Canis lupus familiaris: one gene and its partners. The protein of the gene in region 1 purifies or fractionates together with the protein of each later gene. This does not show direct contact. Links are inferred from orthologs where the notes say so. Each region holds a gene or a part of one and is shown on either strand. Other genes may lie near its edges.

Region 1 (7,428 bases):
GGCATGAGAGGAAGCTTATTTTGAATTCACCAACACGAACACAATGCATTAATAATATCTGTGTCAGCCACAGCTCTGCCTTCACATTGCCCGATCTTGTGTTCCCCATCTGATGAGAAAGAAAGGTACTGCTTTGTAACTACAAACTGAAAGCTTGGGGCCCTTTTGCAAAACTTTTCCAAAGCCTGGACTCACAATCTGAACTTCTGGCAGGTCGGTGGGACAAGATAGCAATGCAGCCGACAGCTTTTGCTGGAAAATAAACAGACAACTCCTGCCCAGCCTATTTGGGACACTCTAAACTCACCTGCATCTGTCCATAGGGAGAAGCACTAGCTGAGTCCCTGCTGACATGGGGAAAATGGCCCATGTGTGTGCCATTGGTGTGTCCAAAGGAAGGCCAAGTCCCAAATGGTTCGTTAACTAATTAGGCTGTTAGAGAAGTCACTAAGCCTGAATTTAGTTTTTACACATCTTTGAGCTCCTCAAATGCTCTTATTCTTGGAACCACACATGACACACAATCTAGGCTAACACTTGATCTGCAGCCCTATAAGGAGATGTCTCCAGTGGAGCAGGTGGGGAGGACCTATGGTGGGCTCTCACACCTTCAGACTCCTAGAGAGGAGAAAAGGGGCAGAAAGGCACTAAGCAACGAAGAGCTATGTTCTGAAAAGAATGCTTGCAACTCTAAGAGGTCTTCACTTCTTAAGGACTTTTCAAAGTACAATGGCTATCTTTGACTATTACACAAATATCAGAAAGGTCACTTGATGGGAAAAAAATCACTTTAAAAGCCATTCGTTGTTACAATCTAAGTAAGCCTTTAAGGGCAAAGTTATTACAGAATAAAAAGAAGTTACAGACTTCTGGTGCCTCTCAGGGGCAGGGGCAGGAAGGACAGTGATCATAGAACATGCTGGGCAGTGGGCAGGTGGCTGGGACGCCGTAGGAGCCAGCAGCATGTAGATGCAACAGAGTCCAGTTCCTCCGCTCACGTTTCAGGCAAGAGGCTGTTTGTAAACGCCACACTATAATCTTTCAGGAGGAAAAAGGAAACAAGGACCACCACTCTGTTTCCATCTCCTTCCCCAGACATTGCAGGGCTACCCTGCTGGACTCCCCTCCATGTTTTTTTTAAACCATTTCTTATTGTGGTAAAATAAAATTTTTGAATAAAAAAAATACCCACATCTTGCCATTTTGGCCATTTTCAAGTGTATAATTCAGTGGCATTGATTATATTCATGATGTAATCACCATCATCACTGTTTCCAAAATCTTTCATTGCCTCAAACAGAAGCTCTTAGACTCGTTAAAGCCAAACTCCCCGTTTCTCCCTCCCAGCCCCCTAGCCCCTGGAAACCTCGAATGCACCTTCTGTCACAAATTGGCCTCTGGTAGATGCCTCATATGTGTGGAATCCTATAATATCTGCTCCTTTTGTGTCTGGCTTCTTTCACTTAGCATAATGTTTTCAAGGTCCATCCAAGTTGTGCCCCTTGTCAGAATCTCATTCCTTTCCATGGTTGGGTAATATTCCATTGCGTGGATAGATCATATTTTGCCTATCCATTCATCTACTGATGGACACGTGGGTTGCTCCCAGCTTTGGCTACTGTGAATAGTGCGGCTTTGCATATTTACCTTCCTCCATTTTTGTCCTCACTTAGTGGAAACGGGGACTGGGGCAGGGGAGCAGATGGATTCCTGGGGACAGAGACCGCTTTACCCTGAAAGGCTGTCCTCTACGCTGCTCCTCAAACGTGTGTGTCAGGGATGCCTGTGGCACCTGGTTGTGCTTGGAGGTTGGGGCACTTACAAAACTCACTCTGGCTTCACTTCTCAGCCTGGCTTTGAGAGGCAGCAGGGAAGAGTGGTGCGATGGACAGAAAGGGCCCTCCATTCACTGGTGTCTGAGGGTGTGAGCCTCTCCAAGTTTCACTTACCTGTCCCCACAGCTGAGAGCCCACCTGCCTCTGCGGGAGGCTGTGTGGCTGGGGCGGCCCCTCCGTCAGGGCTAACCGGCTTCCACAGCCCCTACCTCACTCAACCAAGCTGATACCTTGTTTTGTTGGTCCTTCCCCTGATGGCCATAGGTTCTGCCAGGAGGCTGCTGACCTATAAACCCCCCTGAGTGGGGACAAAGCAACGGAACCTGCCTGAGGACTAGCAGCCTGGAGATGTTCTCAAATGGCAGTGGTACCTGGGCACGAAGATGGAGTTGTGCAGGAAATTCTCGAACACTTTGCGGTACTCGGCCTCCTCCTTCTCAGCCTGCTTCTCGGCCTCAGTTTTGGGGCAGGCACAGCAAGGCCCCTTCTCTCCACCACATACTTCGGTCTTGGGATTCTCTGTCACCTCTTCGACATCGATAGTGCCATCAGCATACTTCCTGATGGGGATTTTATCTACTCAGGAAAGACAAGCCCAGCAGGAATAGAAATCAATAGGTTGTATGTGCTGGGGAGGAAAAGGGGTCGCCACCAGCACACTCAGTGGAGAATGTAGCCGAGTTCTGACAAGGGGCCGCATGTTACATTGGGGCCTGGATCCATTCGGATGCTGGGGTTTGGTCCCAAGCCCCCTCGCTTCTATCCCTCCCACTCACCTTTGGAGCAGTAGTTGTGGCGGTAAAGGTAACTGTCCTGGGGCTGCCGCTGCCACCTCACGATGTAGTAACTGAGGTTACCGTTGGGCAGAGAGGGTGGGTTCCACTTCACAATGAGCTGAGAAGAGGAGTTTGATGCAGAAAGAACATCCAGGGGAATGGAAGGAACTGGAGAGAGCAACAGAGGACATTTCAGAACATGGAATGAACCCAAAACCCAGGCTGGCAGGTAGTCATAGCAAACCAACAAGAAGCCACAGGCATGACCTGGGTGAGGACACAGTGAACATAGATCCATGAGATGACAAGTAAATCTTTCTTTGAAATCGTATTAATTTAGGGGCACTTAGGTGGTTCAGTGGTTGAGCATCTGCCTTTGGCTCAGGTCATGATCCCCTCATTCATTCACAGAATGAATGAGGCAGGACTAGGAAAAGCAGTCCACAAACCCAAGCATACACAGAGCCTTGGCTGCAAGCAATAGACTCTGTTAGCAGCCAAAGAATACTGATTTACAGATAAAGCATAATAATCTGGTCAAGTTTTATGTACTACTGCCTCCCAAACCCAAACCCAGAGCTGCCTTATGTATAAAGGGCAATCACATCTCAGGACCAGCGAAATCGTATTTTCCTTGGGTTCACAAGAAAACACTGATTTTCATGGGTTTTCCAAAGTAAAGAGTAAAGAGACCTCTTTACTGTAGATCACTTACACAACATGGCCATCCAAGCCACTTTTAAAATTTCAAAGGGCAAAGAGCTTGAGGGTACTTTAAGGCCCATAATATCATACACAAGATTCTGAACACCTGTTTGGAGTGATGCTTTAGGAAGAAGTTGTGACTAATGCCAGATTTTTCAGGAAAAACAACCACGGGATGCTCGGCCACTTTCAGATTTCCAAAGTCAATATCTCAAGAATAAATAGCGTACCCCTCGATGTTTCAAGTCTAAGTATCACAAAAAAGCTGAAGCAGAGGACTTACTGGGCCTTCCTCTCTTTCTGCCACTTGAAAGGACAGGGGCCAAAATGTAGGGAACTGGCCCAATTTGTATGGTGCTTAGTTTTCCATCTTTGGGGAAGGGAAATGGGTTTAAGAATTCATCATATAATAAGGGGCACTTGAGTGGCTTAGTCAGTTGGGCAGCTGACTCTGGATTTTAGCTCAGGTCATGGTCTCAGGATCCTGAGATCGAGCCCCACATTGGGCTCTGTTTGGTGGGGAGTCTGCTTGAGGACTCTCTCTCTCCCTCTCTGTCCCTCTCCCTCAGCTCACTCTCTCTCTAAAGTAAATGAATTAATCTTTATTTTATTATTTTTAAAGACTTTATTTATTTATTCCTGAGAGACACAAAGAGAGAGGCAGAGACACAGGCAGAGGAAGAAGCAGGCTTCCAGCATGGAGCCTGATATGGGACTTAATCCCAGGACCTTGGGATCACAACCTGAGCCAAAGGCAGACACTCAACCACTGAGCCACCCAGGTGCCCCTGAATGGATCTTAAAAAAAAAGAAAAAAAAAAAAAAAGAAAGAAAAGAATTTGTCATAAAAAGGAAAGATTCGTATTTTTCCTGAGCTGGCAACAATAATTTACTTCCAAACCTTAGGAAGCATAACTTGTTTTGTTGCCTTTGAGCCTCTGCTATACTACCCACATCCAGGATCAGAAGCCTGTGCCAGATTTACTTCTATAAACACTTTAGGATCTGTGACATGATTGTGACCACTTATGGGATCCCTGAGATGGAGGAAGGGAGGAAGAAGCAGGCATGCAGGAGCCAAAGGTTTTCCCCATAAACACTTTTTCTTTACCCTCTCCACCATTTAAACTTGTTTTGTGCTACCTTAAGGGTATTCTTTAAAAACCCCTATCATCCAAGGATATTTATCATTGTCTTTAGAAATGATGTGGATTTTCCTACCTCTAAGCTGGTTTTCATATACTTAGCTAATACACAGAAACGTTTGCTTTCATTAGTTCCAGACTCTGGGGTTGAGAAAAATGAGGTGGTTTAGAAAATGAAGACAGAGACAGAAAGAGGAACACTTTTACCAGTGAATATCTGGAATGTCCACAACATACATACTCTGTCTGACATTTCCAAATTCTGTCTACCTTCGTGGGACCCGGTCCCTACAGAATGAAGATGGAAAACCAAGTAGCCACATGAGGTAAATGGGACACGAACTTAGCATGTTTTCAGTTCCTGGAGGTTCAGCTATGAAAATAAAACAGGGGGCTGTATCCTGGAGGGGTCCTCCGAAAAAAACCACCCCAGCCTCCTGGAGGACCTGGGCTCACTGGTGCAGGGCAGACAGATGATAGGAGATGGGTCAGAAAATGGCCCAGGAGAGCCCAGGGTATTGGGACTGAGAAAAATAGTATGACAGAGCATTAGTTATTGGTAAGAAAGATACATAAAAAGCAGACTGGTCCAGGTTCAAGAGAAACAACAGGCACATGTGTTGCTGGCCCTCTGCCTACACTTGTCATAAGCAAGCATGGTGAGCTTGAATATGGGATGGGCGGTGTGCAGATACCTGAAGCATTGGTGCGAATGTACAAGATTTCACTCTTAGCCCCACGGATGTGGTCATTCTCCACCATGGTGAGGGTCACCGCCTTGACATAAACCGCATACTGCGTCCAGGGCTTCAGTCCGTGCAGTAAAATGCCAGGCTCAACGTCCTTGTTGGGAGGGAGGTCCACATCTACCATATTCCAGCTGTTGGAGCCACAGGCATCCTGCCCATCATACTCCGTAACGTTTTTAAAAGGTCTGCAAGACAGTGGGTGAAACTCAGAGAAAGTTTTAGGTCTCTGACATCAAAACCCTCAGAAACCTTTCCCAAGGGCCAAGCACATCACACTTTCTATTTTTAAAAAAATATTTTATTTATGTACTCATGAGACACAGAGAGAAAGAGGCAGAGACATAAGCAGAGGGAGAAGCAGGCTCTCTGCAGGAGCCCAATGTGGGACTTGATCCCAGACCCCAGGATCATGCCCAAGTCAAAGGCAAACACTCAATTGCTGAGCCACCCAGGCGTCCCGTCACACTTTCTATAATGGGAATTAGAAATACATGGTCAATTAGATTTGTACAGAAGGATAAAATTAAGCAACGGGACCCCAGGTTTCACCACATTTACAAACACACTGTAGAACTGCATACTCTGCCTCAAGAAAAATAAATTCTAATTGTTGCTGGGATTGAAAACTCAGCTCCTTAAGCATACAAGCAAATGCTATTTTTCTCTTTTCCAATTGTGGCATTTTTCACCATTAAGAACAAAATAAGCATAATAATTTAATGCAAACATTAGCTACTGAGGAAGAATAAAACTTTTGGGGAGAAAGGACTTTTACTACAGAAGAACAGCTTCCAACATAGAGCTTTCAAAATCTCAATGGCTCGCAAACAATTGTGATTGCTTAAGTATTTTATGATATTCAAGTATTTAGCTTCCAGATTGTCTCTGAAACTAACACTGACTCCTTGGTGAGATTACCAGGTGAAAATGCCAAAGCACTGGTGGAAGCATCAAAGAGAGAATATTTTGCACACATTCTTGGGCAGGTAGGGGTTCTCCATCAATCAGATGAAAGGGTCAGACAGACCCTAGCCGCTGGCTTCTGAAACAGATATTAACATGGCCCTCCCTGTCATCATAACAGAAGACCATGAATGACTCCCACACAGAAACACACTGAGCACCCAATAATCCTGAGATCTGCTTTTTTTTACTCCTATGACCCTTCCCAGGGTCCTGGCTATGGCAGGGGCAAGGGGACCAGATACTGCCATTGGTGGCTCTGGTTCTAGCTCTGGGGAAGCCAACCACTTTGGAAAGAGACCTACAGAATCACAATTGGAGCTGGTTAAGGAGGGTGGTTAATGAGACTGGGGGAACCACATGGATAAGGAGGCAAAGAAAGGAAGAGAGAGACCTGCTGAGGCAGGTGGATATCACCTGTAGGCACAAGAAAAGCCCCCAGATTTTGGGAGAAATCATGAAAGGTTAAAAACATGAAGGTCAGTCTCCCTCCATTCTTCCTTCCCTGGTTCAGAGGGCTCATAACCTAGAGCAGAGGAGCAGGTTTTGGGAAGAGCTTATGGACAGGAATAAAATGACAGATTGTCTGGGGGTCACCCCTAGGGAAGCTAGAGTTCTTGGGGTTAGTGGACACATTCTGTATTCCACTTTATGGATGTCTGGACTAACCTAATTCTCTAAAACACAAGCTTTTCTTTTTGGAATTATTTTATTCAAACCCTTCTAATGACCCGCTGAAGAATGAAAGGCCTCAGGTGCCTGGGTGGCTCAGTCAATTAAGCATCTGCCTTCAGCTCAGGTCGTGATCTCTGGGTCCTGGGATGGAGCCCTGCATTGGGCTTTCTGTTCAGTGGGGAGTCTGCTTCTCCCTCTCCCTCTGCCCCTCCCCCCTGCTTATGCTCTCTCTCTCTCTCTAATAAATAAATAAAATCTTAAAAAACAAAAAAAGAAAAAGAAAACAAAGAGTGAAAGGCCTCAAGCTAACACTGTACACTGTGATGTTGTGGTTGTCACCACAGTGACAGATGTCCTGTGACAGCTGGGGAGGGAGGACTGAGGGTGAAGCACAGGCGTCCCCACCCACAGCCCCACCCACAGGATACCACAGAGCACAGAAACTCACGCTTCCTTGTAGTAGACAGTAAAGCTGATGAGGTCCCTGTAGTCAGGGGGCCGGTAACGGTGCCACGTGATGATGATGCGATTCTTCCATGTGGTCGTAGAGGTGAAGTGCAGGACGTCGCTTTCACCTGCA
Region 2 (8,217 bases), on another chromosome or scaffold:
ACAGGGGTTTGGATCCCCAGAAGAGCCTTGGGTATAATATATTTTTCTAGTAACCCTTTGCCTTCTGTCACTTGTCAGCTTTTGTCCTCTACTTTGATGGCAGAGGTCAATTTATGTTCCTGGGGAAAAGGGAAGAGGGGTTGTGTTGTGGAAATAAAAAAGTTTATTTGCTTCTTTTGTGGAGTCCTTTCCTTTAGATGAGCAAAAAAGAATGAGAACAATTTCTTCCATAAGCCAGGCCTAATAAATGATGCATTTCAGTGATAACTGCCTTTTGCACTGGTCACATTTGGGAAGTCCTTTTTTTTTTTTTAAACCTAGTGCAATCTTATTTCCATATTGTGATAGTCACACACACACACCCCCTGAGTGACCCAGTTTTTTAATTGGCACCCTCCCTCTTCAGGATACAGTTGAAGATCATCTGCTGATCATTGCTGTTTTGTGTATATTAATGCTCTGAGGCTTTAGGACTACAGTTTTCCTAAGACTCTTGACATTTCCCAAATCTGAGATTGTATCTTGCTGAAATACCATGATAAAATTGAAGGAAATGGAAATGGAAGATCTCTATAGGCTATTTCAAAAGTATATTACTTAGATAGCTACCACTTGAGCAAAAGCCAGGTGTGATTAAGAGTTCAAAATACTGTGTTTTATAATACTGCTTTGAGGAATTATCTGTTCAATTATTTATGTCATAAAGCTAGAACTGAGGTTTTACGATTCCTAAAGAACATTTTCTGCAAGCTTAGAGGATTTATACCTGAGACACAAGTCATTGTGATGCAATACAGCATTAGAAGGTAGCTTATCAGAGAAAAACAAACAAGTCAGAAAACCAATGTTTTATTCCTAAAGTTCTGCCATCATTTCTAGCGGGTGCCGATGGTCACCTGCCACACACGCACCAGGTTGTCGGTGTAGCCAGCAAACAGAGTCTGCAAGGGAGAAAGGACAGCGACAGGTCATGTCAGAGTCACAGAACTCTGCATTTCTAGTAAAAAGATGGCCTTTTAAGATCACCAATCCTTGAACCATCAGGTTGTAGGTGGTATGTATTCCAAGAGAAGGTAATTAATAATCACTGCTAGATCGATCAATTTTCCTTCCAATGCCAGAACATGTACTCTGTTCACTGACAGTTAATCTGGTCCTCCCAAATCAACCTGGCTAATTTTATCACTTTACTTTATGTCAAAGACACACCAAGAATAAAGGAAGAGAGAAAAGGTAGAAGCCAAGTCACTTCAGAGACTCACTTACCTGGCCATCAGCAGACCAGGCCAGAGAGGTACACTGGGGTGGCTCTGCCTTGCTGCTGGTACTGATAACTTCTTGCTTTAGTTCATCTACAATGATCTTGCCTTCCAAGTCCTGGGGAATGGGCAAAATCAGGATAAGGAGGGACTCTGCTACAGGCATCCAGTTGGGAGTAGAGGCTGAGTATGTTACTGAACAGCCTAAAATACAGGAATGCCTCCCCCTGCCCCCAGAACAGTCTAGATCAACTTGTGCTGAAGTTGAGTAAGTTGTCATCCCCCTTAGTAGACAAGTGTCTGCCACCACTGCAGATCCCAGTCTTGGAAAGCTGTTACCTTGCTCTTCCTGGATCTCCACTGCTAGCCGCATGGTTAGCAGGTATTCAGAAAGCTCAAATCCCAGCAGTGACAGATCAGGAAATCACAACATTACCAGGACTCAGAGAGTACAGCCAGGTGTTCAGCCTTAACTGTAGCCCACACTCACCCAGATCTTGATGCTGGGGCCCGTGGCAGCACATAGCCAGTATCGGTTAGGACTGAAGCATAGGGCATTGATGATGTCTCCACCATCAAGTGTATAAAGGTGCTTGCCTTCATTGAGATCCCACAGCATGGCTTGGCCATCCTGGGAAGACAGGAAAGGTGAGTCAGGGCAATATGAAACCCATTGCAGTTGTTAATCTTAACTGCCTCAAAAATTTTTTTTATTACTTAACAGTCCCCCTTCCCCCGCAAACTTCCCAAAAACTAATGAATGATTCAAATACCAATATTTATCTCTGAATGCCTTTCCTTTAATGCAGGGCACCTCACCAACCCTACGATGTCTCTGACAACTTCTAAATAAATCAGTTCTGAAAAGAACAATCAGTTCTGAAAAGAACAGTTTCAAGAAACCAGCTTTACTGAAAACAATCTTTTTCTTTAAAACAGTATGCCTTATCTATGTCATTTCCAGGAAGCAATCTTAAGATATTTATTCTTGGTTGCTACCTCAATATCTTAAATATCTTTTTAAAACAGTCCCTCACTGAGTAGTAAACTCCCAGTTTCTGAATACCTTCCCTCCAGAAGCACAGAGAGATCCATCCGGAGAGACGGTCACGGTGTTCAAGTAGCCCGTGTGGCCGATGTGATTGGTCTTCAGCTTGCAGTTTGCCAGGTTCCATACCTAGGTTTGGTAAGGTGGAGGGTAAAAGGTGAAGAATCTGGCTCTGAACCAACTGGGGTCAGGACTGCTCAGGACAAAAAAGGCACGATTTACTTAATTTAAAAGCATTCCAGGACAGGGTGACCATTTTTCATTCTATCAGTAACAAAAATGTTAAAAAGAATTTGTCTTGGTCACCTAAGGGACAATCAAGATTAAAAAAGGTAACAAATGTTCTATGTGTTGCTTTATGAGGGACACTGGGCTTCATGAGCTACTTCAGACCAAATATCAAAAACCACTGGCCTGTACTTAGAAGAGTGCAACAGGAAAAGTGAACCGAGGGACAAAGCTTTCAAACTTAGATCCTATGACCACCTGAGAGGCAGTGGGAGAACATTCTGGCTGGTGAAGGCCCTATACCCTGGCTCCAAGCTCACCTTGACCAACTTGTCCCAACCACAGGAGACAATGATGGGATTGCTGCTATTAGGTGAAAATCGGACACAAGACACCCACTCTGAATGGCTCTCGTCCTGCAGAGGATGGAAAAGAAATTAGAGAAAGTATCCTGTCTCCATGAAACCAGAACCTCACCTTCCCTCAGTTACATGGAAGTGTTCACAACCCTAGAACCCAAACCATTAATATCAAGAGCTCCCTTTATAGAGTCCAGGCCAGGCTTAAAATCACCTTAAAGCCAAGGTTAAGAAGGGTGGGAGAGAAGTTTCTACATGTGCCTTCAGTTACCTGTACGGTGTACTTGCATACACCCAGGGTATTCCATAGCTTGATAGTTTTATCTCGCGACCCAGAAACAATTTGCCGGTTGTCGGAGGAGAAGGCCACACTCAGCACATCCTTGGTATGTCCTACAAATCTGCGTGTGGTGGTACCCCTGAGGAGGAGGACGTGGTCAGTCTCTAGATGCCTCAAACACTCTTCCACATCAGAATGTTTCCCTGGTCTGTTCCTGTCTCACTGGAGCTGCCATTACTCACATGACCCTGGACATAGGTCTGATCACAACAGGCCCATGGTTGAGCATATATGAGAGTATCCCTTCAGAATTGCAGGACATGTCCTCACTCCCACGTAGGGATTGGCTGACAATGTCATCTGTCATCACTGGGATGCTCATTATGCCCGGCCATCCAAGTACTGAGCTCCCAAGATAAAACATGTTCAACACTTGCCTACTCCCAACCACAGTATGTGGTAAAACTCAACCAGCCCACTCCTCTAACAATTCTGCATAACTAATTAAACCAGCAAGGATAGAAGCCAAACAATCCCAACTACCTTTTCTAGGTACTTTCTTGCCTTAAGTACCCACAATGAACCTCAATCTCCCTTGGAAACCACCGCCCAACAGCATCTACCTCATTTTTGCCTAGCCTTTGCCCAGTGTCCCAGAGTTAAATGAGCAGCTACTTGCGTTGTGAGATCCCAGAGACGAAGGGTTCCATCCCAGGAGCCTGAGAGGGCAAACTGGCCATCTGAGGAGATGACCACGTCACTAACAAAGTGGGAATGACCCCGAAGAGCACGCTGTGGGATGCCATAGTTAGTCTCATCCCTAGTCAGCTTCCACATGATGATCGTCTTATCTAAGGAGAGGTAAAAAAGAAAACTCAGTGAGTTAACAGCCCACTTGCTGACCTACTGGATAATCCAGGATCCCTCAGTGTCATCGGTGGACTTAAAAGGTAACAAATTAAGGACTCTCAAGGGGGAAGAACTACAGGGTGTGAGCTGTTACTAGTCAAGGCCAAGGTGATTGGCTATTCAAAAAAGATTCAAGTAGAACTAAGCAATGCCATGAAAATTAAACTCTGGTGTGCAGAACTTTAGCATATTATGGATGCCCCTTTCTGACAGATCAATTCAATTCTTGGAGTCTGATCTGAGGTCTAAAGCATAAACACTGCTGCTTGGCTGTGGGATTCCTACAATCACTAATGGCTGCATTCGGAAAAATTGCTTTACATCCTACCTGACTGGATGCTTTCACTGAAACGTGTTAGTAACAACAAGTTTTCCAATTACTCTCCAAACATGATCCTGGCCTCAGACTATTTTTTAATAGTGTGGGGGCCAGCAAAAGGCACAAGAAGCCTCCGAATGCTGCCAGGTTCAGTGAATGAAAAGAAACGAGGGGAGTTCTTGCAGTCTATCCACTAAGCACGGGCCGGGCGTAAGCTCAGAAACAGCCTCTGGTTCTCAGCACAGGTACTCAGATGGCATGTTGGCATCATCACCGCTCCGCCCGACCCCGTATCTCCTGAGCACACTCAGCTACACACCTACACACATCTGCGAGAAGATGGGCAAGAAATAAAACCCCAACCCTGCAATCCTCCTGGCGACCACGAGCTGACCTAGGTCTCCGTCTCTGCCAAGCGGGGATGGTTCGCGGGTTTATCCAAGCGGAGGCCGTGGCCCGGGTCCGCATGCCCCAACTCACACCCGGACGGAGTATTCCAAGTCGCCAAGCGACACGCGCAACCCACTTATCCCTCAATCCTTTGCCCCGCACCTTAGCCCGTACCTCGAGAAGCAGACAGTATCATGTCTGGGAATTGGGGAGTGGTGGCGATCTGAGTCACCCAGCCATTATGGCCCTTGAGGGTGCCACGAAGTGTCATCTGCTCAGTCATAGCGGCGGCGAGAGCGAGTGTCGCCGCGGCGACAAGGATGGAGATGGATAGTTCAGAAGGACTAGCAGCACAGCCGCTCCCGACAAGGCCCTCCAGAGGAAAAGAAGGAAAAGGTCCCCGCCGGAACCGGAAATACCCTCCCGTTCGAGCAAAAATGGCGGCCCCCGTTATTCACTCCTGCCTAAGATGGCGGCGCCTCGTAAGTCAAAAGGCGAGATGAAATGGCAAAACTTTATGGTCGCCTCCGCCATGCAACATAATTTGGCAGTGCCATGCCAAGTCATTCTGAAACCAACTCCACCAGGTGTTTAAAAAGGCCCCTCAAACATCCACTGAGGCGTGATGTATAAGAAGACGAAGAGGGGACGGGCACAGACAGCATGTTCCCATAAGGAACGTCCGGCGCCTTCCCTGCCCCCACGTGGCACAGCGCGAGCCCTGCCTTTTCCGCTTGGTGGTCTGGAGGGCCAGGCTGAGGGAGCTCAATTTCGAGGTGAGAACTGCCAGTAACGGTAAGGAATATGAAAAATATGGTATTCAGTTTTTGAAATACACTGTACTTAGGTGAACCAGTAAACTCTGACTGATTTCCTTCGCAGAGGGCAACTCCTCCCTGGAGAGGTTTTTGCTTTGAGGGAATTGGCTGAGGCACTCCCTGTCCGGAAGGACCTAGTCCAGGCAGAAGTAAACACAGGAACAGGTTACGGAGCGGAAAACCGGGGAGGAACGAACAATCGGCCCGTGGGCTGCATGTCCGTCCCCGGCTCCCACCTGGGCAGGAGCGCGGAGAGCCGACGCAGAGACAGAGACCCCGAGAGCAAAGGCCTCCGGGTTCTGACTTACGGGTCTCGAGTGAAAGCGGGCTCTGAGCCTCACCGCCTCTCAGGCAGGTCTGCGGGTCTGGGGAGTCCAGACGTGCCCCTAAGGAGGTTCCACCTGCCTGGGACACCGTGGATCAGGGTTCCCAGGTTGCCTACCGGCCTCCTGTTTAGCCGCATGGTACGTGAATATGTAGTGCCTCCTTGATAACTGAGAGACGATGCTGGCAGGCAGCGCTCCTGTCACATATTTTTTGAAGGGGGAGAGGTACCAGGGTGGTACCATTCGCTATCATCTAAGCAAAATAAGGGGGGGGGGAATTATACATAATAAGTATTTATTTTCTGTTTGTAACATGTATTAATTTTAGTTTCATATCTGTGAAATGAGGTTGGAAATAATAGTACCCACCCAAAATGGTGTTGAAAAGAGTAAATGAGTTATGGTAGGTAAAGGGCCCAGAACAATGCTTGGCAGAATAAATGCAGGCAAACTTAGCACCTCTTGGGTACCAGGCCCTGTTTTAGGTCTTGAGGGATACAGCTGTGAGCAAGAGGGGGGTGAGGACCAGGTTTTTTTGGAGTTTACATTTGATGGAGTGAGGGGGAAGGAAATTGGAGCAAAGAGACGAAGAAGGAGACAGCCCTGTGGATACACGGGAGGATAAGGTTCTGGGGGCAGGGATGCTCAGTGCAAAACATCCTGGAGGTGTTGGAAGTGCTGAAAACCGAACAGTGAGATAGGCGTGAGGGGCAGCTGACAGAGGGCCCGCAGTCTGGGGGAAAGAACATGGCTCCTCAGGGTGGTTGCTGTTCTGAGTAGGCTTCAAGGGCTCCAGTTGCGAAGGTCATTTAAATGCCTCCGTAGCACCCCCAATTAGCTGTCTTTTTCTTCTAACACTAAACTCGAAGTCGACCCCAACCCTGACCTGTTTTGGTAATGGGAGACCCTTACTTTCACCCACACCAGTATCCAGTTCACTGTTCATAGCTCGGGTCGTGCCAGTGCCCTGGGCGGTTGGGACAAATAGAGAGGTGAGAGATTTCCACGCTGTGGAAATGCACAGAGCAAACACTCCCCTGTGTTGGCCTGTACATGCAGAGGATTTCCTCTCAGTTCAAGAATACGCGTTCCTTCATCTCCTGCCTTCACCCAAGAGATCCTTGGTTAGTCATATTATATTTACTCCTCTCGAGAAATCTCATTTGGCTCTCTGTATTCTTGAATTTTGCTAAGGAGCCCCTGTGGAATCAACATCTCTGAAAGAGGGCCAGGAGGACAGGTTTAAAACAAGCCTCCCAGGTCTCTCACGCATGCTCAAGGACTCGACCTTTCGTCACCACCAGGCCCCTTTCCAGAGGGGGCCGTTCCTCGGCTAGCCTCGTCCTCCCCAGGCTCACCTCTGCGCAGCCCTTTCCCAGAGTCCTCTGGCCACAGAGACCAAGATTTCTGTAGGTGTCTTTGGCCTCCCGCAATTCCATGGGCGTCTCCCTGTACCGGCCCCTGGCAGTGCCCCCTCCTCTGGGGCCAAGGGGGGGAATCTCGGGTTTTCCCCTGGAACCCACCAATACCCATCTGGCAATGTCAGCAGAGGAGAGGGAGAAATGGAATATAGTGGAGTTCCCAGATGACCAGACTGTAGGATTTGGGCTTTTCCACCTTGGAGTTTTTCTCCAATCATCACCACCTGGTCTCTCCTCTCTTGGAGAAGATTCTGGCAAGCCACAAAACCACTGAGGGGTATTCATGAATTGAGGGAGGCCTGACCCTGACTCTGGGGACACTTTGGGTATAGCTAGGGGCAGGGATGGCATGTAGCAGCAGCCTTTCCCTCTCAGCCCAAGCTGGAGTTGAGCCCCATACATGCCTGCTTCCGTTTGGGGCCCCAAGGCTCCCTGCTAGGCATGTGGACCCACCTGGACTCCTCAAGCCTGGCCCTTTCCAGGGGGCTGACTTCTCTTGGCTGCTAGACGCATCCTAAGAATAAGCCTGTGCTTTCCACAGTAGTCTGCTGCCTGCCCAAGCAGGCCTGGGTCCGGCCTTTGGGCCTTTTCATCCTGGGTCTTTGATCTTTCCCTCTAGGAGGCAGAAATCTGTTGGAGGGCTCCACCTGACCTTGGGTGAAATTGGGGAAAGTTACTCTGCAGAGCCTTCTTTCAGCTCCCCAGGCCACCCCTCTCGTATGTTCCCCACCCACTGGTCCCATGCCCTGGGCTGCCTGTCCTCTCCTCTGTCCCCACTGGCAGCCTGTCCTCTGGGCTGCCTGTCCTCTCCCATGTCCCCACTGGCAGCACTTCCATTCCCACACAAGGTAAACATCCCA
Region 3 (7,428 bases), on another chromosome or scaffold:
TAATTATAATAATGATAAAGAGGATGAACACGGTGTGACCTTGGACAGGTTGGCTAAGCCTCGGCTTCCCCCCATCTGGAGGACTTGGACTAGGTGATGTATCAAGTCCCTGCTGGCTTGGGATGCCAGGAATTCTAGACACAGGAGGGCCTAGAAGAAGCAGGAGAGAGAGGTGGGGAAAGACGGGCCTGCTCACCAAGGGAACTGGCTCTGAATCCTTACTGAAGGACCTCAACTCAAATCTGTGGCCAACACTTGCCCTCAGCTATCCACAGAGAGAGAGAGAGAGAGAGAGAGAGGCAGTGCCCACACATTAAGAGGGGGACGGGGTGCAGGAAGACGGCCGAGACTCAGGTCCCTTCAGGAGGCACGCTGACTTCTTTTTTTTTTTTTAATTTTATTTATTTATGATAGTCACAGAGAGAGAGAGAGAGAGAGAGAGAGAGAGAGGCAGAGAGGAGGCACGCTGACTTCTAAAGTCGATTGTATCCCTCAGGCTCATGCCCCACTCTGCCATTCCTTTAGGCCCCCAGAGGCTTCCCCACAGCCCCCTAAGGGATGTCTCAGATTCCCTGAACCCTGTGGTCTTAGGACTGGGGGCAGAAGCTCTTACCTACCCCAGGAGCCCTGGTGACCATGAGAGAACTGGGATGAGATGTCCCAGCCCCAGGAGAACAGCCCCCACCCCCTGCCAAGTCCAAGCCTCCTACCTCCTTATCCAGGGAAGCTTCTAGATGCAAGGGCTTGTCCGACATGAGGAACTGCCTGGTGGTCTCAGCTGTGGGCTGGGGGCCAGGCCTCTCCGGGGCATACTGAACCTTCCTGATCACCAGGCGCACAGAATTCCTAATGGAGATGGGCAGAGCAAAAGATAGCCAGAGTCACCTGCCTCCATCCTCCTTCCTCATAACCCTCCCTTTCCTCCTCAGGAGACTGCCATGGCTCCCCCGGCGTTACAATCCAGACCAAACTGCAGAGGTGGACACAGAGGCCTTGTCACCACCTGGCCCCACTCCATCCTCCCCCATTGTGTACACAGCCACCCCCACTTCCTCACTATCATCCTCAGTGGTTCATCTCGTCCTGTCTCTGCAGCTTTGCTTACACCGGACCCCCGCCTGCAATACTCTCCTCCTGCTTCTACCCTCATTTATTTCCTTCTTCAGGACCCAGCTAAATACCTCCTCTTCCAGGAAACCTTCCTGGATCAGCTCACTTGATCTTGTCCCGGTCTTAACTCCCACACCAGCGGAGCTGAACCACCCCATGGCAGTCCCTCATGTGGATCTGTGCCTTGGCAGCCAGCAGGATGGCGAGAAAGGAACTATGTTTCACTTCCCACATCCCTTACTTTACTTAATAGTGTAAGCTCCTTAAGGAGCAAAATTTTTATCTCAATTGTTCACTGCTGTGTTTTCAACATCTATGACAGTGCCTGCCATATAACAAATGCCTTCCAAATATCTATTAAATCAAAATCTGCAGAGGGACCCCATGAAAAGGTGGGGGCTCAGAGAGGTGACGGGGTTCAGTGAGGGGGTGTGGATTCAATCAGGGGGATGTAGGCCAGTGACAAGGATGGGGACCCAGTGAATAGATGGAGGCCCAGAGATGAGATGGGACTCAGTGAAAGGGACAGGGGCTTAGGGAAGAAACGAGGATACAAGGATTGGGAGGGGATGGGATCTGGTGAGGCAGTGCCTGCGATGTGCTGGGTGTGCCAGCATCCCCATTTCTCACCTGCACCCCCTAGAACTGGACAGCCAGGCTGAAGGTCTGAGCTTGCCCCTTACTAACTATATGCCCTTGAGAAAATTCACCCCTGGATCTCAGTTTCCTCATCTGTAAAATGGCAACAGTAGCAACACCTACCTCCCAGGGTTGCTGAGAGGATTAAATTAGTTCCTACATGTTCACCACCCTGAATAGTGTCTGGTCCTTAATAGGCCCTTCATAAACGATAGCTGCTATATCATTATCAGTAGTATCTCTGATGTGGACTTAAAATGTCACACTGGCATAGGGTGAAGGCAGTGGCCCTCAGTGTCGTTCCTCTTCCTTGCTCCGGTCAGGCCCCCTTCAAAAACCCACGAACCCCTATCTTTCCCCTGGTCTCAGGTCTGAAGAAGAAAAGGAAGACAGAGAAGCCAGGGAGAAGGGTCCCATCTCCCCACACCTTGGAGTTGCCTGGGCTGGAGATGGAGATGCTCAATACGCTCTTCAGCCGCCAGGTGGCAAACTCAGCCCACTCCCTAAGAAGCCGCAGTGCCCTCCCTCAGCCACCCTCAGCCAGGCTCGGTAGGAATGCGGGCGGCTGCCTGGGGAGGCAGGGTGCATCAGAGTGGGGGGCTGAGGCCAGCCTCGCCTCCTCGCCAGAAGACAGGGCAGGGCCTGCCTTGAGGAGGAACAGGCACGAGAGCAGGGCTGGGCAGTCTATCTCAGAAGTCAGGTCCAGCTGTTTCCAGCTGCCAGTCTGGACTGTCTGCCCAGGGCTGTGCCTCTCTAGAGAACACTACCTCTTCTGACACGTGGGCTGACCCATCCCACACCCCACTGCCGCCCCCACTACCACCTGCTGCTGATGGCTTCCCAGGAGAAGTAGGAAGTAGGGGTTCAGGGTGGCTGGAAAAAACTCTTGCTCACTCTTTAAAATGATCCAAATTTTGTGTTTCTTTCCAAAATAAAATAAAAACATGCAGTCTCATGGGGCAAGACTTGAAGCAGGGTGATGGAGGAGGCAGGTTCAGCATTGTAAAGGGAGAAATCCTGAGGCCTGAGGCCTGAGCCCTAAGCCCCAGACAGTTGAGCCACTTTCTCCAGGAACCCCTCCAGGACTTGCCAGCCTTCCAGAGGGCCCTTCTTGGAGTTTCTGGGGCTGGAATATGCGGCCCCTCCTCACACACTTCCAGGTATTGTTACTTATCTCTTCTCTGACTTTGCTGGTCTTGTCTCTCTCCCTCTGCCAGTAGGCAGCCCACACCCAGCGGAAGCTGTGCCCTTCTCACCGCTTGTGGATCTTTTCCTCCAGGTTCTCGGCACAGAAGGCTTTGACCTCGTAGTCCACACCACAGGCCTGAGGAGAAGGGGCTGCTGACCACAGGGTCCCGACAGCACAGCCATCCCACCCTCTTATTTTACAAACCAGGACCCTGGAGGGGAATAGCAAACTTCACAGGCCAACCGCCCCTCAGCCTGATTCAGGACCCTGTGATCGGCCTCAGCCCCAGTGCTGTGCTGCACCCCAACCCCACCTGGCCTTCCCACAGAGCTCCCCTAGCTCCCCCAACACTGGGTGTCCCAAACTGCCCTAACTGGGCTCCACCCTGCAGACACCTGCCTGGTCTGGGCAGCTGTCCTCATTAAGGCAGCCACTCGGCAATAACAATGGGGGTGCTCAGCAGTCCTAGGAGGGGAGCACAGACTATGTGCAGACCCAACAGTGCTCTGGTGGCTCACTCCACCCTCTAAACTGCAGGAGGAGGCATAGCCTCTCATCTCCATTTTGCAGGTGAAGACAAGGGGGCTCAGAGATCTGGGGCCTGTGACACTAGTAGTGTCACTTCTCTTGGAGCCTCCATTTCTCCACTTGTGAGACCACAGTGAATGGACCCCCATGCAAGGTTGTGAGGCCAAGAGGTAGTCCAGAGAACATTTTGGTTCTGCTGCAGCCAACAGTAAGCCCAGGAGAGACTGCATGTAATGGAATGCGGGGGTGAGGATGACACCCTATCTGCCTGCTGCCCTGTATGAAAAGAGCCGGCTTATCTGAGGCAGTGTTGAAGTGGCTTCCACACAGGGAGGCTTCCACACAGAGTTCCGATGCCTCTCAGAAAGCCAGGGCCCTGGGGATACAAATGTCCTTTACCCGGAGAGAGGCTTCCAGAGACGTGACCCACCTTCCCCGTGTCTTCAGGCCCTGGCTGCAATGTCACAGAGCACGGGAGGTTTGGAGGGATCTGTTAAGAGGACAGACAGGTCTCCTGTCACATTGACCATTGAGCTCCTCATGTTGCCCACCCACCACCCCCACACACATTTATCAGACCAGGGGGCCCTAGCAACAGGCCATGTCTCCCCCATCAGACCATGCCAAGGATGCCCCACACTGGGCCAGAAGCCCTCCAGTAAAGCCAAGGATTTCAGTGCTTTTCTTTATCTAAAGGATTTTGCCTAGGGGCATCTGGGTGGCTCAGTGGTTGACTGTCTGCCTTCGGCTAAGGTTGGGATTCTGGGGTCTGGGGATCGAGTCCCGCATTGGGCTCCCTGCATGGAGCCTGCTTCTCCCTCTGCTGTGTCTCTGCCTCTGTGTGTCTGTCATGAATAAATAAAATCTTAAAAAAAAAATTAAAATAAAGTGTTCTGCCTAGATTGTAGTAGGCAGAACAAGCCCCCCCACCCCCTCAAAGGTGCCCACCTTCTAATCCCCAGAACCTTCAACTGCTACCTTACTTGGCAAAGGGGATTTTACAGGTGTGATTAAGTTAAAACTCTTGAGATGGGGAGAGTAGCCCGAGTTATCCAGGTGTGCCCGATGTAATCACAATGGACCTTAGCAGGGAAAGCAGGAAACAGAAGAGTCGGTGTCAAAGTGGTGGGCTGCAAGAAAGACTGACCAGCCATTGCTGGCTTTGAAGACAGAGGGGTAGGCTTCAAGCTAGGGAACACAAGCAGTTTCTAGAAGCTGGAAAAGGCAAGGCCTAGAGCCTCCAGAAAGAATACAGCCCTGCTGACACTTTGATTTTAGCCCAGTGCAACCTGTTTTTTTGTTTGTTTGTTTGTTTGTTTGTTTGTTTGTTTTGACTTGTAACCTCCAAAACTGTAAGGTCAGAAACTTGTGTTTTAATGGTCACATTTAATTCCCACCAGGTTGGCAGCAGCTTGTTTGTTACAGCAGCCACAGGAAACCAATACATCTGCCATGGACAGGATGACTGTAATGTCTCTCCTCTGGTTTCCCAGAAAGCCAGGGGATTTCACTGAATCACAGAATCAGAGTCTGAGAAACAGGAAGTTTTAAAATCCAGAATCTGGGAGTCTTTCCATTTGGAAAAGTGGCAGAGCAGGGAAATCACTACATGCCATCCCTCATTAATGAGCTGCGCTGGAGCTCAGCTGGAGCTGGGCCGAAGCTGGGCATGCGGGCAGCTGGTCTGAGGGAGGAGACAGTCCTGTAGTAATTCAGAGGTGAGAAAGGGCTCCTTCTTTCTCTGCAGCCTCTGCCCACCCGGCTCTCTCCCGCCACGAGCTGGACTCGGGAGGGTCCAAGGAGTAGCTCAGAGGTAAGGTGACACCCCTGGCAGTGGCCAGAGAAGAGACACTTACCAGGAAGTATAAGTGACAGTGCCCCAGGTCCCAATGTACACTGAGAAATTGAGTGACATGGAGCTGCTGCCCCAGCTGTCCCCATGTGCTTGCCCACAGGGCTTCCTACTGGTGGTGCAGTTGGCAGTCCCTAACCTCAAAGGTGAAAGGATAGGCATGCTCGCCCAGCTTCTTGATGAGGCGCTCCTGCAGCCGTGTCAGGGGCTTCTTGTCCTCAGGGGCTGGCGGGAAGGACTGCACGTTGGCCACAAACAGATCCTTGCGAAACGTCAGGCCCAGGACATCCAGGTCCTCCCGGCCATAGCGGAAGGCGCAGGTCAGTGTCACGTAGACTGTGGGAGCAGGGGGCATGGAGGATGAGCCCAAGAGGGCAGCAAACAAGCCCCCAAGAGCACCAGCTGAGCCCTGGGATTGGCCCAACTGGAGCTCAAAGGTCTGTCCCAAAGCTCCTGTGTGGGAAGGCTGTGCAGCCCTCGGGATGGGGGTACTGGGTACCCAGGAGAACCACTCAGACCTGGCCCCTAGGGGGAGGTGAGGGCTGACTGCTGGATCAGTTCTGTCCTTTCCCATGCCCCACTCTGGCCAGTGTGGGGAGCACAGGAGATGGTCTGACAGGGTTGGTGAGGGCTGGAGAAGGCTGGTAGGACCGGGGTGGAGGGCAGGTGGGGCTGGGGAAGTGATGTGGCTGGAGAGAGCAGAGGGAGAGGGAAACAAGTGCTGGGTGGTGTCTAGAAGGTGTGGGGTCCTCTCCTAGCCCAACCCCCACCCCACATCTTCCTGCTGACCTTGGACAAGCCCTTCACCTCCCTGGGATTCAATTTTCTCTCCTATAATGAGACTCTAATTCCTGCCCTAATGGGCATCCCCGGCCTTGCGAAAGTCATGATATATTGATGTGAGTGCTCAGGGAATTGAAAAGGTTCTCCTATAATAGGCATAGGTGGGCTGCCCAGGCGAAGGGAAGAGCCAGTGGGGCTGGGCAGGGAAAGGCCTTAAAATTAGTTGGTGTCATGTCTGGGACTCATGGAGGCCCTGGGCTAGAGGTCAGTAGGGAATAGGAGGCCCCCTCACAGCCCAGAGGTGGGGACCACTTCCTCACCTCTCCTCTCCTTGAGATACTCAGGATCCACCAGGACCACGCCATCTGGAAGAAGGACAAGAGAGTAAGCAGACCCTCCCAACTTGACCTCTCAAATTCTTGAGCCCCAAACACCAAGCCAGGCCTGACCTCACCATCTGTCTGTGGACAAGCCTCATGAGAGAAATAGGGGAGGCCAGCACCCGTAGGAAGGCACTGCCATGCCCCAGCCCCTACCCTCAGGCGGCCCTACAGACCCAGCTGGCAACTGGTCTGTTTCTTCCCTGTTAATAAAAACACCAATATGGGTCCCAAACCCCTACGAGCAGGTGTACTTTAGAATTTCGAGATTCTAAAAGGCCATGTGGTACATCTTCCATATATTCTGTAACACCCTCTGAAGGATCTGGGGCAGTGCCCCATGATCAAACCCATTAACACCTCAGCAGGGAAACATGAATCTTTTCACAAAGAGGCTAAAGTATAAAGAGCTTCCTATAGTTCAGGTCAGGTTTTGTCACTAAATGAATCCTACATCAAACTTACCAGTAAGTTTAGACTTCTAGAGTTTCTTGGATTTGGGATTTGCCATCAGGAGTTGTGATCCTACAGAACCGACCTCCCAGGCCTCCCGTGAAGACCAACTGAGTTAATATGTTTAAAGCTGAGATGGTGCCCGGTTCATGGGACTCTACAGAGAATGTCCCCGGGCCTGGCCGTGGCAGTGCGGAGTCCAGCTAGACACAAAGGACATTTTCTCCCTGTGGGATCCCAGGAAACTGGAAATACAGGCTCCTTGCCTTGACATCCCCGGTCACCTCTGGCCATACTTCACCCAGCCATACCCACTGAACAAGCAAAATTCTCTCCTCAACTCTCACCCACTGCCACCCTCCCCCTACATCCATGCTGCCCCCATAGCAATCTCTCAGGGAATGTCAGAGGCTGCCCCTGGAAGGGAGTGTTAGAGGGCTCCTGGTCCCATCCAGTCCTGGGCAGGCCCAAGGGATACTCGGCCAGGGGTGTCT

The links.
Region 2: the proteins of IGF1R (region 1) and RACK1 purify together in Homo sapiens (affinity purification with western blotting; 4 studies listed by BioGRID, with this or other methods). This does not show direct contact. The link is inferred for Canis lupus familiaris from reciprocal best matches to the Homo sapiens genes IGF1R and RACK1.
Region 3: the proteins of IGF1R (region 1) and ARRB1 purify together in Homo sapiens (affinity purification with western blotting; 3 studies listed by BioGRID and IntAct, with this or other methods). This does not show direct contact. The link is inferred for Canis lupus familiaris from reciprocal best matches to the Homo sapiens genes IGF1R and ARRB1.

The regions. Positions count from the first base shown.
Region 1 is NC_049224.1:42,429,343-42,436,770, reverse strand, and holds part of IGF1R (insulin-like growth factor 1 receptor), read right to left. Parts: intron 7,424-7,428; coding exon 7,297-7,423; intron 5,396-7,296; coding exon 5,157-5,395; intron 2,780-5,156; coding exon 2,612-2,779; intron 2,412-2,611; coding exon 2,207-2,411; intron 1-2,206. UniProt on the Homo sapiens protein: Receptor tyrosine kinase which mediates actions of insulin-like growth factor 1 (IGF1). Binds IGF1 with high affinity and IGF2 and insulin (INS) with a lower affinity. The activated IGF1R is involved in cell growth and survival control.
Region 2 is NC_049232.1:609,237-617,453, forward strand, and holds RACK1 (receptor of activated protein C kinase 1), read right to left. Parts: upstream 5,196-8,217; 5' UTR 5,076-5,195; coding exon 4,967-5,075; intron 4,683-4,966; exon of another isoform or gene 4,615-4,682; intron 4,026-4,614; coding exon 3,854-4,025; intron 3,552-3,853; exon of another isoform or gene 3,473-3,551; intron 3,314-3,472; coding exon 3,166-3,313; intron 2,952-3,165; coding exon 2,856-2,951; intron 2,437-2,855; coding exon 2,326-2,436; intron 1,891-2,325; coding exon 1,750-1,890; intron 1,378-1,749; coding exon 1,267-1,377; intron 942-1,266; coding exon 876-941; 3' UTR 834-875; downstream 1-833. UniProt on the Homo sapiens protein: Scaffolding protein involved in the recruitment, assembly and/or regulation of a variety of signaling molecules. Interacts with a wide variety of proteins and plays a role in many cellular processes.
Region 3 is NC_049242.1:23,394,624-23,402,051, reverse strand, and holds part of ARRB1 (beta-arrestin-1), read right to left. Parts: intron 6,467-7,428; coding exon 6,422-6,466; intron 5,655-6,421; coding exon 5,458-5,654; intron 3,957-5,457; coding exon 3,897-3,956; intron 3,074-3,896; coding exon 3,006-3,073; intron 847-3,005; coding exon 711-846; intron 1-710. UniProt on the Homo sapiens protein: Functions in regulating agonist-mediated G-protein coupled receptor (GPCR) signaling by mediating both receptor desensitization and resensitization processes.